Linked DNA regions of Oreochromis niloticus. The protein of the gene in region 2 purifies or fractionates together with the protein of the main gene of each other region. This does not show direct contact. Links are inferred from orthologs where the notes say so. Each region holds a gene or a part of one and is shown on either strand. Other genes may lie near its edges.

Region 1 (7,856 bases), on a different chromosome or scaffold from region 2:
AAAGCACTTCAATTTGTCATGACTACTTTGTTTTACTGCTTGTTCAGTTCAGACAAAAAAACAAAAACTAAACTAATTTTAATTACTTTGAGCTCTGCAATCAAATAAGTTGCAATGAATTAAATGGTAAATACTATACTGATAATTCTTAATTATTCATCTTTACTTGACTTTTTTACCCCCTAAAGAGAGTCCTACAAATTTGTGAGTCTGAATTTAAAACAACAACAAAACTGAAAGAGAAGCTCTTAGAAGAGCACTACTTCCTCACCAAAGGGTTAAGGCTTAATATATAGCAGCTAACCTGGATGCATCTTCTCCTGTAAAATTTCATATCATCCTGGGAGGAGAGTCCAGCAGCAAACCACAACCCACTACAAAGAATAAAAACAGAATATCATCATTGTGCATCTTTGGTGGGACTTAACTTCATAGGGGTTAAACTTTTCATAAGAAGGGACAGAGAACTGCTAGAGAGCAGAAGACACCCCAAAACTTTAAGAAGCTCACTTGGGGTAGATGTGTTAATGGAGGGAGTTTACAAACAGACCTCAAATTTGAAAATTTTAAGCTACTTGTGCTTTTGTTGTAAAGATAGTTAAAACCCAGGAAATTATATATTTGAAATACTTGCATATAGCTCTTGTGAAACTTCTAAATAGTTCTATCAGAGACATTAACTAAAACAGGATTTGCATTGTTGTGGATCTAGAAGAGCACTTGACCTCCTCTCAGCATGTTCATACCGATTTTAAAAATATAATCTAAATGGGGTGAAATTAAATACACAATATATTTTATTAAAATAGCCATCTGCTACTGTGAATCCAACTGGCCTTACTGCCATTACTGTTTTGACAAAGAACTGAAAAAGTTTGGTTTGAGAGAAATTCACAAACACAATGGCAGGCATTATACTAACAAAACTAAGAGGTAAAATTGTCTTTTAATCAAAAAGACAAACCCCACAGGGAAAATATCAGCTCTATTTTAACACAAAGCCATTTTGCAAGCGCACTTGTGGCTCTTTAGTCTCCCCCTAAATGTCTGATTCTTGTTAATTTTCAGTACTGACATATGAACAGTTCCTTTCCTGGCTCTAGTCATTACGGCATCAACGGGCCTATTTAGGTGTAAATATAACGACAGCTAGCTTGCTATTAGTAGCCGTATCATATCATAAGTGATGGCTAAAGACCTCTATAACAAGTCTGCGTGTCATCTTCTCACGCCCAACTGATTAGATCCATTCCAAAGCTGAATCAAACGAAACCAACCCAAAACAATTAAAAGCCTAACGCTCATGTATAAAGACCGTCCCCGGGTAGCTCTGTACTTACAGATGATGGGGTAGCGCTCGTCATGGTTGGAATTTAGGAAGCATATTCAGTGTTAATTTGCGTCCAGTCTTGCTACATATCGTTCGTGTGTGTGACTCCCAATTCCTCGCATAAATGACAAACGTATTCAGGCTCACGTTACCGTTAGCAGTCTAACTAGCTAACGCTGTCGTCGTTAACGTTACCCTGAAAACTGCGGGACAAGCAAGCATATCTCTCACCAATCCAGTGTTAACGTTAGCTAGTGACGCTGTGTGTGCAGCCAGCGGGTTGCGGGGCCCATTCAGCTGGTTCGTCAACAAGTCAGCGTTAACCATTAGCCGAGTTAGCCGATTTAGCTACGAGGCGTTAGCCTGGTTAGCTTCCGCACTCCATTGCTGTAAAAAACAAAACTACACCTCTGCAAGTAATATAGTTAGACAGTAATTCACAACGGAAATATGAGCCAGCAGAGCAACATTTTCTTCAATCCTACAATGACACTGTGTAATATCGCAGGGCTAGCTTTAACGTTAACGCTGTGCCAGCATGACTCTTCGCCCAAACCCACACAATCCGCTGCACCCCTCTCTCTCTGGGGTTAGTCCAAAAACCAGTTCGGATGCTGTTTCTGTCTGACATTAATAATCAGTTGACCTACTGACTGAAAGCAAACGTTATAGGTGGCTCCAGCGGAGTCGGCGCCGCCACAAAACGTTAGCTAGCCGCCATACCACAAGCTACCTTTCTCAACTTCACGATCGCGTCCATCATTGTTAACCATTGACGTTACACACAACATATACATCCACGAAAGCGTTAACCTGAACGCTTTCGCATAGGCTTTTGCTCACCTCTGATGGCACGATCTTCATTTAAAGTCCAATAACCTGTATGATGAGGAAACTTATCCAGTTTGAGATTCTCCCCTCCCTGCACGGTTAGCGAGTAATGTTAACGTTAAATCCAATTCCCCCGTCCTCTGACCGGCTAAAATAATTCGCCAGTCAGGTTCATTGCGCTCTTCATGTCCCAAGCACTATTGAAAAACATCGCCTGTCGAAGAAACTCTTGACTAACGTTACTATCAGCTGATGACAAGCAACATGCTAACGTTAACTAGCACGCATAACTCACCAGCTAACCTTAGCGAGCTGGCTAGCTAGTTGACAAAATGAACGCAGCTAACATTGGCTAGCTGTAGCTTCCGTGGCTAGCCTCAAGCTAACGAATCTAGCCACCGCTAAATAAATGTTCTGCCAAATTCAGATTTTTACGCCGTCTTCGCAAATTTGGCGCCGGCCACTTCGACAAACACGAGAACACGGTTAAATCCGGAGTATTTTAAACGTGAAACGGAATCCGTGTCCTCTGGTAATTTTGGTTAGGAATTTTGTGTCAATTTTCACAAAATGGCGCGCGGTCCAAACCTGCGCAGTGAACCGGCCCGGTGGACCAGAGACACGGACAACTGAGTTAGTGCGGCGCCGCCTAATTATTTCAACTGTGTTAAAACGTCGGCCTCTTGATCTTCTTAATCCGATCCACTAGACGCATTTCGATATCCAAAAACGTCAGACATATATCCACTGACAGCATTATTCCGGCGGGAAGGGAGAACATTTGAAAAGACTGAGCTGGGGAAAAAAACCCTCCTGACAAAATGGCGATGCTCTAGCTTGTTGCCATGGCAACTGTCAATCAAAAAAAAAAAAAGGTACCCGGATGTACCAATGACGAATAAGATCTAACTGGCCCGAGTTACAGGACACACATAACTCCGTGGTGTCCCTGTCTGTCTTTTTCCACCGCGTTTGGCCTGTTGCTATCAACCAGAAGACATTCAATATTTAGCTGTATCTGTAGACGGTTAAAGTAACTGTCTAAAGATACAGCTTCGTATAGCAATATAACCACAAAGAGATTCTATATCAGCCAACACACGGGCATAACAATAACAAAAGGTTAATAACGTGTAAACGTTTTATTTCTTTAATATTTATCTTTGTTAAAAATAGTCATTATTAGACACAGTAATGATGAAATGATGAAACTGTTTAATAAAGCATACACTGCAAAAGTTTTTGGGAGTTGCTAAAATTTCTTAATTCACAAAATTGGTAAGTTAATAGGTAGAAACTTAAAAACTTTATTAATCTTTATTAATTATTAATTAAATCTGTTTGCCTCCTTCCAGTTTTTTTTTCTTTTTTCTTTTCTTTGCATGCATTCACATCTTTCAGATAAAAAAAATAAAATTAATATTGTTTTAATTCAATGGACTTTTTTCAAGCATGAGCAACTTTTTAAGGACATGCAAATTTCAATCAAATTTAGTCTTGAACTTTCAACCTGTCACTCTAAAAACCTAATTTTGTTATTTTGTATATTTCAAATCATTGTCCAGCTGCGTAACCTAAGTGCCCTTGAGCTTCATGGCACAACCTGATTGCTGGACATTCTCCTCATGGATTTTCTGCAAGAGAGCAGAATTCATGGTTCTATCAATTAGGGCAAGTCGTCCAGGGCCTGAAGGAGCATAACAGCCCCAGCCCATCACAATACTACCACCATGTTTAACTCTTCGTATGAGTGTCTTTTTTATGAAAGCCTCTGCTAGTTTTATACCAGATGAAATAGAAATCAAACCTTCCAAAAAGTTCAGCTTTTGTCTTGTCAGTAAACTAAATATTTTTTCCCAGACGTCTTGGGGATCATTAGGATGTTTTTTGGCAAATGTGAGATGAGCTTTTGTGTTCTTTTTGGTTAGCAGTGGTTTTCTTGGAACTCTCCTGTGGATGCCATTTTTGCCCAGTCTCTTCCTTACTGTTGAATTATGCACTCCAACCTTAACTGAAGCAAGTGAGGCCTGAAGTTTGTTAGATGTTGTTCTGAGTTTTTGTGATTTCTTGGATGAATCGTTGATGTGCTCTTAGAGTAATTTTGGTAGGCCAGCCACTCGTGGAAATGTTCATCACTGTTTCACATTTTCTACATTTGTGGATGATGGTTCACTGGAGTCCTAGAGCCTTAGAAATGGCTTTGTAACCCTTCCCAGACCGATAGACGCCAATGACTTCTTTGTTTCTCAGCTGTTTCTTTAGATTGCGGCATGATGTGTTGAGATCTTTCAGTCTGCTTCTCTTTGTCAAAGAAGTTCTGTTTAAGTGAAACAGGCTGATTCACTGGCAGTAATCAGGCCTGGGTGTGGCTGGTGAAACTGAACTCAGCTTTCCAAAACCAAAATGTGGTTGATCACAGTTAATTAAGGATTTAACAATGGTTGTCCACACTCCACCAGCAGCAGCTCTATGTACAGTGGAACTCAGTTTGAGAACTACTGTGGTTGACTGCATTCGATTTTTTCTCTCTGTTCCTGTTAAAGATTCACAATGAATGGTGAAACTTAATATTTTTTTCACTTCACTGCCTGATTATTGTGGCCAGACAAATTCACTATAGCAATGTTATTAATGTTGTTTTTTCTCTTATTCTCAAACTGGGGGCTGGAGAGAGTGTTCATAACCATGTAATTGCAATAAGGCATTAAAAAATGACATTATTATTTTTTATTTAAAATATTGTCATGCATGCATCATTTCATTAAAGGAAAATTAGTTATTTTTATTATTATATTATAACAACGGTGGAAGCGATGTATGCATTTTACAGTTTTTCAATTATTTAAATGGAAAAGAGTCACAATATCATATATGTTAACACGTTACCAAGGAGGAAAGACAGCAGCAACGATCTCAGAGAAATAACTAGTATGGACCAGCAGTCTGAAAAGATTATAAGGCCATTCATGAATAACTTGAAATCCATCATTCAAGGCAGTTGCCAATCTTCCCAGCGGTGGATGTTCTAGCAAATTCACCCCAAGCTCAGACTGTGCAATTCTCAGAGAAACTGCGGCTTTGTTGTTGTTTGTTTGATGTTTGGCCATAATACACAGTTCTTGGAAAACCGAACACAACATGAGCATAAAGAACAACTGTCGAGCACGGTGGCGGAGGCGTGATGGTTTGGACTAGGTTTGCAGGATTGAGTCAGCCATGAACTTCTCTGTGTACCAAAGTGTTCTAGCACCAAATGTGACCGATAAAGCTTGGCTAAAACTGGGTTAGACAGGAGAATATTCCCGAGCACAGCAGCAGGTCTAAAACACAATGGCTGAAAAATATAAGAATTAAGGTGCTGCAGTGGCCCAGTCCAAGTGGAAAGACTTTAAGAGAGCTGTGTATGAATGAATGAAGAAACACTGTAAAGAAGAGTGCAATAAAAATTCCCCCACAATGATGTGAGAGACTGATAAAGTCATACAGAAAACAGTTACTTCAAGTTAAAGTTATAGAAGTTTTTGTATCATGCGGTGAACTTAGTTTTTTTGTTTACTTTTTTATTAAGCCAAACATATACGTGTCCTGGGAGAATATTAAGCCACATCAATTGAAACTAGCACAGTAAGTTGTGGCTCATGTATGATAAAAAGAGTTTAAAACAAAGAGTATTTAGAAAGCTTTTGTTGAACATTTACATATGATGATGTACGTCAGTCAGGTCTTGAGCAGGTAACACTTGCAGGACTTGTCTGAATAATGACTACATATAACAGACAAACGCTTAAAGATTCAGACATCTCAGAGCTGGAGAAACAAGTTGAGCCAGGAAATCTCATGCTAGTGTTTTGTGTTGACCGGAATGGTCTGGGAGTTTATTCCTTACTATCATGAAATAAAGACTTTATAAAGACAGAAATATTGATTGAAGATATCTTAACAGCAAAACAACGGGACAAAAACAGACTGTGTAGTGGAATGGGCTAATTACTTACTGTAAGTGCAAACAGTGACCTTTTCTAACTGTAACTGACATTTCTCATTGTTACGCCTGTTTTGTGATATGTTTAGGCTATAGAAATAAAGCAGATTAAACTAATTTAAATTAGATTATTTAAATTCATTTTTACCGCAGAAGTTTGAAAGTTTACTTATTTATCTGTATCTGTAAGACTCATGTCATTATCACGAGTCATGCATGTGTAACATGCTTTCCAGTGTCTGTGTTTTCAACAACAGTTTGAGCAAAAGGCCACCATGACTGAGATGTCTGCAGTGATAATGAGAAGTGTTCTTAAGTACTGCAACCACAAAATAAACAAAGTTAATATAATTAACTCATGTTAAGCGCTTAACAAGAGACAAGGAGTTTGAGGCAAGGAGTTTGCACAATTTTGTAATAAAGCTCGCATATCTAATTTTATACTGGATGTTTAACTAGCATCTGGGAAACTGTAAAGTTTTACTTGCTCATTTGTTCATTTTCAGGTCAAACACTCATGTAACAGCGAAACCTATTGTCTGAAAAATGTCCCTAAAACAATATTTATCTTGACACATGTACTGCACGCAGCAGTGAATTTTACTTTAAGAGGTCGCAAGAGGTTCAATTCATTATAATGAAAGGGAAGTTGTAAACTTATGACATCTGCTGGCTGTGTGGATTCCATATTAGGAGACATACATCCAGTTGAGTGACGAAATACAAAACAGTCTCCATTCTGAATGATCAGTTCAACTGATGGTAGCGTCAAGCTTTAAACAAAGGGGCATGGGGCTGAAATAAAATTCAAGCACCAACTTGTGGCTTTTATTGTTAAAGAGCAGGACTTCACAAGCACACTAATCCCTCAGGAAACAACTGCTTTCCCTTCATACTCTACCTGTTTCAGGTATCTGGAATACATAACACCAAACAAAATTTGATACAAAGAATAAATATTTACACAAACATGGATTCATATAGATATTAAAATCATATAAAACCTTTAAATATTTACAGATAATAGAATTAGTTTGACTGAAGTGCCTGAACCTGTCACGCTGGTTTGCCCCAGGGGCGCTTAAGCAGGTGATTAAACTCCTGTTCCTCTTTTGTCTCATGTTCTGTTAAAGAGACAAGCAGGAAGAAGTGAGTACTGATAGTATGTGCAATAACTGAACCCACGTAGTTTATATAATTATAGACTGAAAATTAATTATGATCAGTCATCAGTGTTTATGATCAATGTTTTCACTTAAATAATTCTCCAAAATATGCACTAAACCCAAATGATTCCCCCCAAAATCAGCGTGGGTCGATTTTCATTTAGCTCACAATATCAACCATTCGTGAACTCACAAACATGCAGCAGGTAAAGGAACCCCTGGTTTTAATACGTGTTCTAGCACATGTACATTTTGTGAAGCCAGGACCAATTTGTACTGAAGACGTGCTGGAAATGGCCCCAGCAGCCTTGGGCTTCTGTCTGCCATTAATATAGAAGAAACCATTTGGGTCCATCACTATGATGGTGTAAGACTGTCATTCCTGCTGATAACCTATCTAATACTGATAATTAATCATGACCATTTATGCCATCTGGACGGCTGCATATGGGACTGTTCACTAGCTGACTGAGAAATCTTATTTTTGTGAATCTTTGGACTGTCTTTATGTTTTGCACAAATTAAAGTTCCATTGGCCTTTTTTACT
Region 2 (7,593 bases):
AAATCCACACTGTGAACCTCTCCTGGCAAACTGACTTATTCCCCTGATGAGACCTTTTTATTCCTACACCAGCAATGAAAATAATTTCTTTAGGGTAAAAGAAGTTTTCTTTAGGGTTGTAAATTCTCACCTGGTCTTGTAGGTCATAATCATAACTGTCATGCAGGAGAAGACTGAGAACATAGCGGGTGTAGATCATGGCATCAATCCCGCACTTCTCAAGCTCCTGGCCTAGCCAGCTTTGCACTGGACCCAGCGAATGGAGCAGCGACATCTTTGAGGCAGGCAGGGGGCCCACAAGAGGGTAGGGGCAAGAGAGGTTCTCAGGAGGAGCAGGACCGTCTGAATCGGTGCTCACTGGACGCATGGGACCTCAGGTATTGGCCATTCTCGGGTAGAGCAACATTATGACAGGTATTTACTGCTGAGTGGTTGGTGGAGAAAGGTGCAGAGGCGATTAACCTATCTGGAAGAGGAGGCCGTCACTCCAGCAGTACAAACTACATGAGGAGGCATGTAGGATGTTTTTTTTTCCTTTTTTCTTTTTTTTTATTGCTTTGAGCAAAAAGGGGGGATGTTACTCATCAGGCATGGCTTAATGCTGCTGATATATTTCAGCTTCTGAGCAAAACACAAGACGTGTTTGCATTTCAGTCAGAGGGGTCCATTTTGGGGCTACGTCTTACTTCACCGGCACAACCTGAAACAGAGCAAACAAGTTTCTCACATATATTTTCAGTGTAGAATGCAAGTGAGCATAGCAAAGCAGCGTGGATCAAGACTTTTTTGCTCCTTTCAGCTGAATATATAGTGCATTTTATGGAGCAAACGAAGGAGAATTTAATGTTATAACAGGTCCAACTGCAGCATGTGTGTCAGATAATCAAATCTTTATTTATTTATTTTTTGTTACTATAAAATCTTAAGAAGTAAGCCCAAGCTCTTTCAGCGGAATAAAAAGGTTTGTTTTAAGCAATGCTGCATTTCCTCAAAATATAGCCGACTGTGACCCTTCACATAAATCTCAAATGTCCATGCTATTCAGGTCTGCATGCCATTTAAGTGACAGACAAAGTGAAACATGTTTGTAGTGCAGGGCATAAAGAAATCCTTCCTGTTTGACTACTTTTGTATACCACTTATCACGATCACAAAACATCCGCATTGTTTCATGACTAATATCGCCAACAAGTTCTGTATTAGCGACAAACCCAACAGCTGAGTGTAACTGCGGGCAGTGAGCAGGGGAAGGCTCGTATAGCAGCGGTGGATTAGGACACCGACGTGAAGAGCAAATGGAGGCTGCGGCGATTTGATTGGCTCCAGTGCTCGTCATTCAGCGGTGGTATATTATAAGTTACGACATAAAAAGGTCGAGATACGAAGCCTTAGAGCTTGCCATCACGTGATTCCAGCAGTCGACACCTTTATGTATAAGAATGTTTATTGAAGTGCAGATGGACAGCAGCTGAAAGGTTAGCTAGCTCGAAAACTACTAAATATGGCTGACCAGTATCTCCAACCCAGCTGTTTCTTATATGCACACCATCTCCGGCCGGCAGTTAGCTTTTCACTGCACGACACCACACCAACAGACCAACTTTATGCAGCAGTACTTAAATTATCCCACATAAGAAAACAAATGCGTGCGGCTTTAGCGAGTTTATTGTGACTTCGCGCAAATATTAACTGACATTAACGTTACGCCGTTGAGCTACCGAGTGCGGCAAAGCAACTACAGGGAAATCTAAAACAATATTTAGTATTAGACAGAAATGTCATCAACATGCCAATATACCATTTAGTCTGTCATTAGCCAACAGCTGTGGTGTCAGCTAACGTTGCGCTGACTTATGCTATAAGAGTCATTTTGCAGTCAAACAGCAAGGTTAGCTTGACCACCGACCTTTAGCTAATAAGCCGTTAGCCAAGTTAGCTGCCGACAGCTTCTCATTTTTGGTCATAGGACGGACCTTAATATTAATACGACTACCACCTACCATACATAATTATAACGAGGCGTTTGTTTAATTTGGTTCTTTTCTTCTTCTTTTTTTAATCTGAAGACAAACGCTACTGAAGTGGTGACCAGGTAAACGGAGCTTGTTTCGGTTACAGAGACCTGACAGTTCTCTATTAAATATATCAACACGCTAACGTTTGAGCAACTTTCTGTAACACGGCACATGAAAATAGCAAGCACAGAGTCAAAACAAAACGGAGATGCGTTTTTATTAAAACCGAAACAACCATTACATAAGGTTAGCTACGCTTGTTGTTGTGACCGAGGGGGAGGAGGAGCGGCTGCCCGGTAGCCTACAGAGGACTTTCAGACGTTTCCCTTCAAAATTGTGCGTCATATCGTCGTATATAGGCAAAGAAGTAAGCTGCTTAAGCATGGAACACCAAGTAGGAACTAGGATATTTCAATGCAAAAAGAAAACTTCCATGTGAGTCGCTGGTTTACGTACCTGCCGTTGGCTGAAGTTAAGAGAAGCAGCGAGAGGGGAGCGGCAATTTCTCTCCCGCTGCTGTTCCGAGCTCGAGCTCTGGAATCTGTTCCAGTCGCATAGCTATCATGGACGCCGACAGAAATGGCGCTGTTTTCACGTCTAGTGCGTCTTCAACAGCGTCAAGGAAACTGGCGTCATTCGGGCTCAAACATGAGAGAAGGTCACACTGTGACGAGACTACGCGCAGAGCCAAAATGTCCGCTGAGTAACGGCAGTTTCATTTAGAAACGGACTCCAAACGCACCGCCCTTTGCGTTCGTATCCAAGCAACAACGCAAACCGCTGCTGATCCTGCTCGTATGGGTTGATCCCTCCGCTGGGGTATTGCATCAGAAGGCCATCTAGTACTGTCATCGTTTATACTCACAAAGGCGGGTCTGACGGGGTCTCCCCTACGCCCCCTGAAGTGTAGTTTCGGTTCCGGCGTCCCCCCACTAAAAATTGCTGTTTTAACACAGGAAACGCCAACATTCACTATGTGGGAATACAAACTTGAGTTGATAGAACTCAGAAAATCACCGTGTCCTATAGTAAAACGGATGATACTGACCAAGTTAAATGCAAATTTCATTCAGTAATGACGCCTTCTTGTCTGAGTTCTAAGAATTTGTAGACATTATTCAAATTTCATGTAGACATTTAGGTACAATTAAATAATATTGTTTACTGTGACATGCTGTCTCTTTGTCATTTGAATGCCAATATCTTATATTTCACATATTACACATTTATAAATGAAACCACAATCAGACATCATTTAAATCCAAATAGAAAATGAAATGGTATCCTCTTAATTTGACACTTTAAAAAAAAAATATTTTTAATAAAGCAGGCTAAGTCTGAACTGATGCAGAACTGATGCAGCTGATGACCACACACACTCGGCATGTTTATCTGTATGATTCACAAATACAAGTACATATGTCAGAATAAAATCTGACCATTTTGACTTTTTGCTCTTTATTAATTACAGCTGGAGCTTTATCTCATACTGTCTGTCATTACTACTTTGAGTGCAGCTTTTAGTCACTTTTACCACTATTACTATGTATAGCTCTGCAATTCAACAAGAAAAAAAGATTTACAGTGTAGGATTTAGTAACAAGAACAATCAGCATCTCCAGACTACTGCAAATAGAGAAATTTTGGTTCAGTGGCAGTAGTGTGTTGACAGTCCACTGGCAGTTATGGATCATCCGTCTACCTGCAGAGAGCATTTGTTGAGAAATGGCAGCGGTGTCAAAAATATGTGATGCAGCCAGTCCCACATATTTTTCCATATGTTGTTATTAATCCATCAGCCAACTGTGGAGAAATTATAACATATGAAGTATTAAAGTAAAACTGAGTGTTAAAAACAGCTACTGTCTTTAGTTTTTGTGCTGTATTATTTTTTTCATCTTTGATGGTTTTTTTGTGCTTCTCTCTTCTACTGTGCATGTTGATCAAGTATTCAACCAATGCACAGTGTCATCACATTAAGCAGTACAGTTGAGAGCATGCTCATGTTTGTAAAAATCCCCTCTCTGTAGGCAAATACAATCACAAAATCATAAATAAAGCATAAAACTGTGTGTTTTGAGAGGGGGTTGATGGTGCTTGTTCTATGGACTGCCTTCTAATAAGGATCTATAGTGTGGCACTCTTTATCTGACCCCAGGGGTTATGACCTTTGTGCTGAGACGAGCCAAAGCCTATTGACCAGCTGTTTCTACCACTATGTGTGCAGATACACACACACAGACACAGCACAGTGTGCTTCAATCAGGTTAGCACTAATGGTGAGAGAGCTAACTGTAAATACATCGTAATATTACCCACAATATTCCAAAATTAGAACAATTCAACATCAAATAGGCTGTGAACTTGGCAGCTGGCAAGTTAATATCCCATTTGAAAGTGTTGGACAACTGTGTTGTAATATATAACTTTATCGGGGAAGTCCTGTAAAAATTCAGGTATGCAAAGCTTGTGCACAACAGCCACATATGAATTTCTGTTTTGCCTGCAAGAGCACTGGGGATAAAAAGTCAAATTCATATTGACTTTTTGTAACCTGGAAACTAAAGCCATGAGGAAGAATTATAAGTTTTCAGCATCAACATTCTGTGCACACTGCAAATTCAAGATGGTTTTTTTTTTTCATTGTTTACTTTCTGCCTCACTTTTTTTTTGCCTTTCCTGTTACATGATAACATCTCATGAAAGCCTCAGCCATGAGCACAGCAGCAGTTTAGCCCAAGGCTGTTTGACATCTTCACATGTATCTCATCACCAAATTTGCACAGCAGTAACTATAAACTGTCCAAACGGTTTGTGAGGATTAAAATACACAACGCTGGGCTCTGTGGAAAGTACGGTTTTGTAATACCACAAGTTTCCCTATACTCATCAAAAGCACAGAGTCGGGTTAAAAAAATCTAGCAGATCCTGATAGCCTAATCAATACAATCAATCAGGCAGTCTAAATTAGATGTAAATTAGATTTCAAATTATCCAAATTGAAATCAAATTTAATCTACAGAAACAAGAATCAAATGTAACAAAATATATATCAATTTTGGCCTCATTTTTCTCTTATTACAAGTTGATTTCTTTAGTAAATTTAGTAAATCGTCCACTCTTCTCTCACCCCAACCAGTCGCAGCAGATGCCCGCCCCTCCCTGAGCCTGGTTCTTCCCTGTTAAAAGGGAGTTTTTCCTTCCCACTGTCGTGAAAGTGCTTGCTCATAGGGGGTCATATGATTGTTGAGCTTTTCTCTGTATGCATTATTGTAGGGTCTACCTTACAATATAAAGCACCTTGAGGCAACTGACGTTGTGATTTGACGCTGTATAGATAAAATTGAATTGAATTGAATATGGACTGGATGTGGTACAGGACCCTCCATTCAGAGAGCAACAGCTCAATCTGCTCTGCTCTTTGCTCTGACAGCTTTCTCATTTGCCAGTGTTAATTGAAAGTCAATTTGGAACAGATGGCAGAGTTAAAAGATGCCCTATAATCCTCTCGCAGCAAAAGGGGTTAGGGAAGTGGGGGTAGGGAAGGATGCCTCTGGGTGATTCCACTACAATGTTATGACAGTAAAATGTTTCTCATAATGCTATAGCTTTGCTTTTCAACAGAGCACACAGTACCATTTCAAAGTGAAATTGGTTCTCATTCACATGGTGGGTCAAATCTTTTATTTGTCACAAGCATGAGAGCAACCAAAGCTGATACTGATTTGAGTTTTAAAATATCACCTCATTACTTGAAGTTTCCTGCAAATTTCTCTATTTTCATGCTGCAAAAAATATAAACGAACTCACGACTGAAAGCTTTAATGAACATTCAAAGAAACTATACACAATGGGATACATACATTTCAAGTTCTTAGAAACAATTAGCTCCCTTCAGTGAAGAGATTTACTACACCTGACTGCCTCATTAAAGGTCACTACTCCGCTGTGTATTTTCAATTTAAGTTATATAGTGTCAAGTCACAACAATGATGAGAGAGAGACAGGACAACGACTAGTCACCATTATTTTGTAGTAACCTTCACATCTACAGCATAAAGTGGCAAGTATTTTAAGGAGAATATTCTAGAAGATTGACATATGTCATTGTGGTATTTTTGAGGGCCTAACATTTTATTAATTGTGAAAAACTTAGATATTCAAATAAAATGGTGTGGAGAGTATAGCAGTCTTTATAAAGCCTTTAGTGGGTTTCAAGAAATTACAGTTGAGCATCTTTCAGACTAAGTGCAATATATAGAATAATTGAAAAATCTGTGCTTACCTAGCGAACTTGCTAACAATGCTAACATTGAGTCATGATATTTTGTAATTTGAGGTAAGCTATGTTGTTAAACTAGGGTGACCAACCGTGCTCTTTTCCCCGGACATGTCCACTTTTCACGTTCTATCTGGGGCGTCCGGGGGGATTTTCGAGATGGATGAAAATGTCCGGGTTTTCCTACAGAAGACCCATATGTGCAACGTCATCCCCGAACTACTGTGTTGTAAGTGGTTGTTCCCCGCTCACAGATGGGACAGAGCGTGGAGCGGCACGCTGAAAAGATGCCAAAGCGCAAGTGCATCTTTTTAGACAAACTGCAAAAGAAATTTACCTCGTACCATCCCGGTCGGAATAAATGGGAGGCGTAGTGCACTGTGTGCAGAGCTGGCACATACGTTTGTATGTCTAACAAAGGTGCCGGAGATCTTGTTGCTTACATGGACACAGAAAAACATAAAAAGGCTGCTCGAGGCGAAAATTCATCTAGTAAGTTGACTGAGTTCTTTGTTACACCTGGGAAAAATGAGGATGCTGTTGTATCTGGAGCAGAAGGTGCACTGGCATTTCATACTACGAGGCATCAGAATAGCTAGACCCATGGATTGCACTAGTGTGTTGCTAAAAAAAAAAACCCCCAAAAAAACAACATTTCCAGACTTTAACACAGCTAAAAAGTTCAGCAGTGCCTGCACCAAGATTGAAGCTATTGTCACTCTTGAAGCTAATGAAATCCATTACTGTGGCATTTCTCAGACTTCAGTAACCATGGAACAGAGAAAATATTCCCAATCATACTTTGACTGGAAGAATGGTGGCGTGCAAACAAAATTAATTGAGGTTAGAAACGCCAAATGAAACAGCAGAAACCATTGCACAATACCTCACTGGTACCTCACTGGTAATTTTTCTTATACAGATGAGGCATTATTTCTGTAACATTATTTAATTCCAGAGGTTTTTAAGTTATTTTTTTTGCACTTGTTGACTTGTAAAAGCCTATATGACATTTTTTATTTCACCATTCATTAACCACACAGAGAAGGCATCTTTTAAATATGTTAACATTTTCTTTAAACAAACAGTATTATTAAAATTCGTCATGACTGGGCCAAGTGTCCTCTTTTTTGGAAATCAAAATATGGTCACCCTAGTTAAACTATATAAGAAAAGGTCCCCCGTTTATGTCATTATTAGGTAGCACTTTATCAGTTGTACAGTAAACCACTCTATACATTTTATAGTACCTAATGCCATTCAAAATAGCTCATATTAATAAGCTAAAGTAAGTTTTGT

The links. The genes of interacting proteins can lie anywhere in the genome.
Region 1: the proteins of kiaa0232 (region 2) and dyrk1ab purify together in Homo sapiens (affinity purification with mass spectrometry; 3 studies listed by BioGRID and IntAct, with this or other methods). This does not show direct contact. The link is inferred for Oreochromis niloticus from reciprocal best matches to the Homo sapiens genes KIAA0232 and DYRK1A.

The regions. Positions count from the first base shown.
Region 1 is NC_031979.2:25,834,245-25,842,100, forward strand, and holds the start of dyrk1ab (dual-specificity tyrosine-(Y)-phosphorylation regulated kinase 1A, b), read right to left. Parts: upstream 3,010-7,856; 5' UTR 2,174-3,009; intron 2,118-2,173; exon of another isoform or gene 1,341-2,117; intron 375-1,340; 5' UTR 335-374; coding exon 305-334; intron 1-304. UniProt on the Homo sapiens protein: Dual-specificity kinase which possesses both serine/threonine and tyrosine kinase activities. Exhibits a substrate preference for proline at position P+1 and arginine at position P-3.
Region 2 is NC_031967.2:4,756,642-4,764,234, forward strand, and holds the start of kiaa0232 (uncharacterized protein KIAA0232 homolog), read right to left. Parts: upstream 3,032-7,593; 5' UTR 2,472-3,031; intron 2,223-2,471; exon of another isoform or gene 2,001-2,222; intron 701-2,000; 5' UTR 368-700; coding exon 131-367; intron 1-130.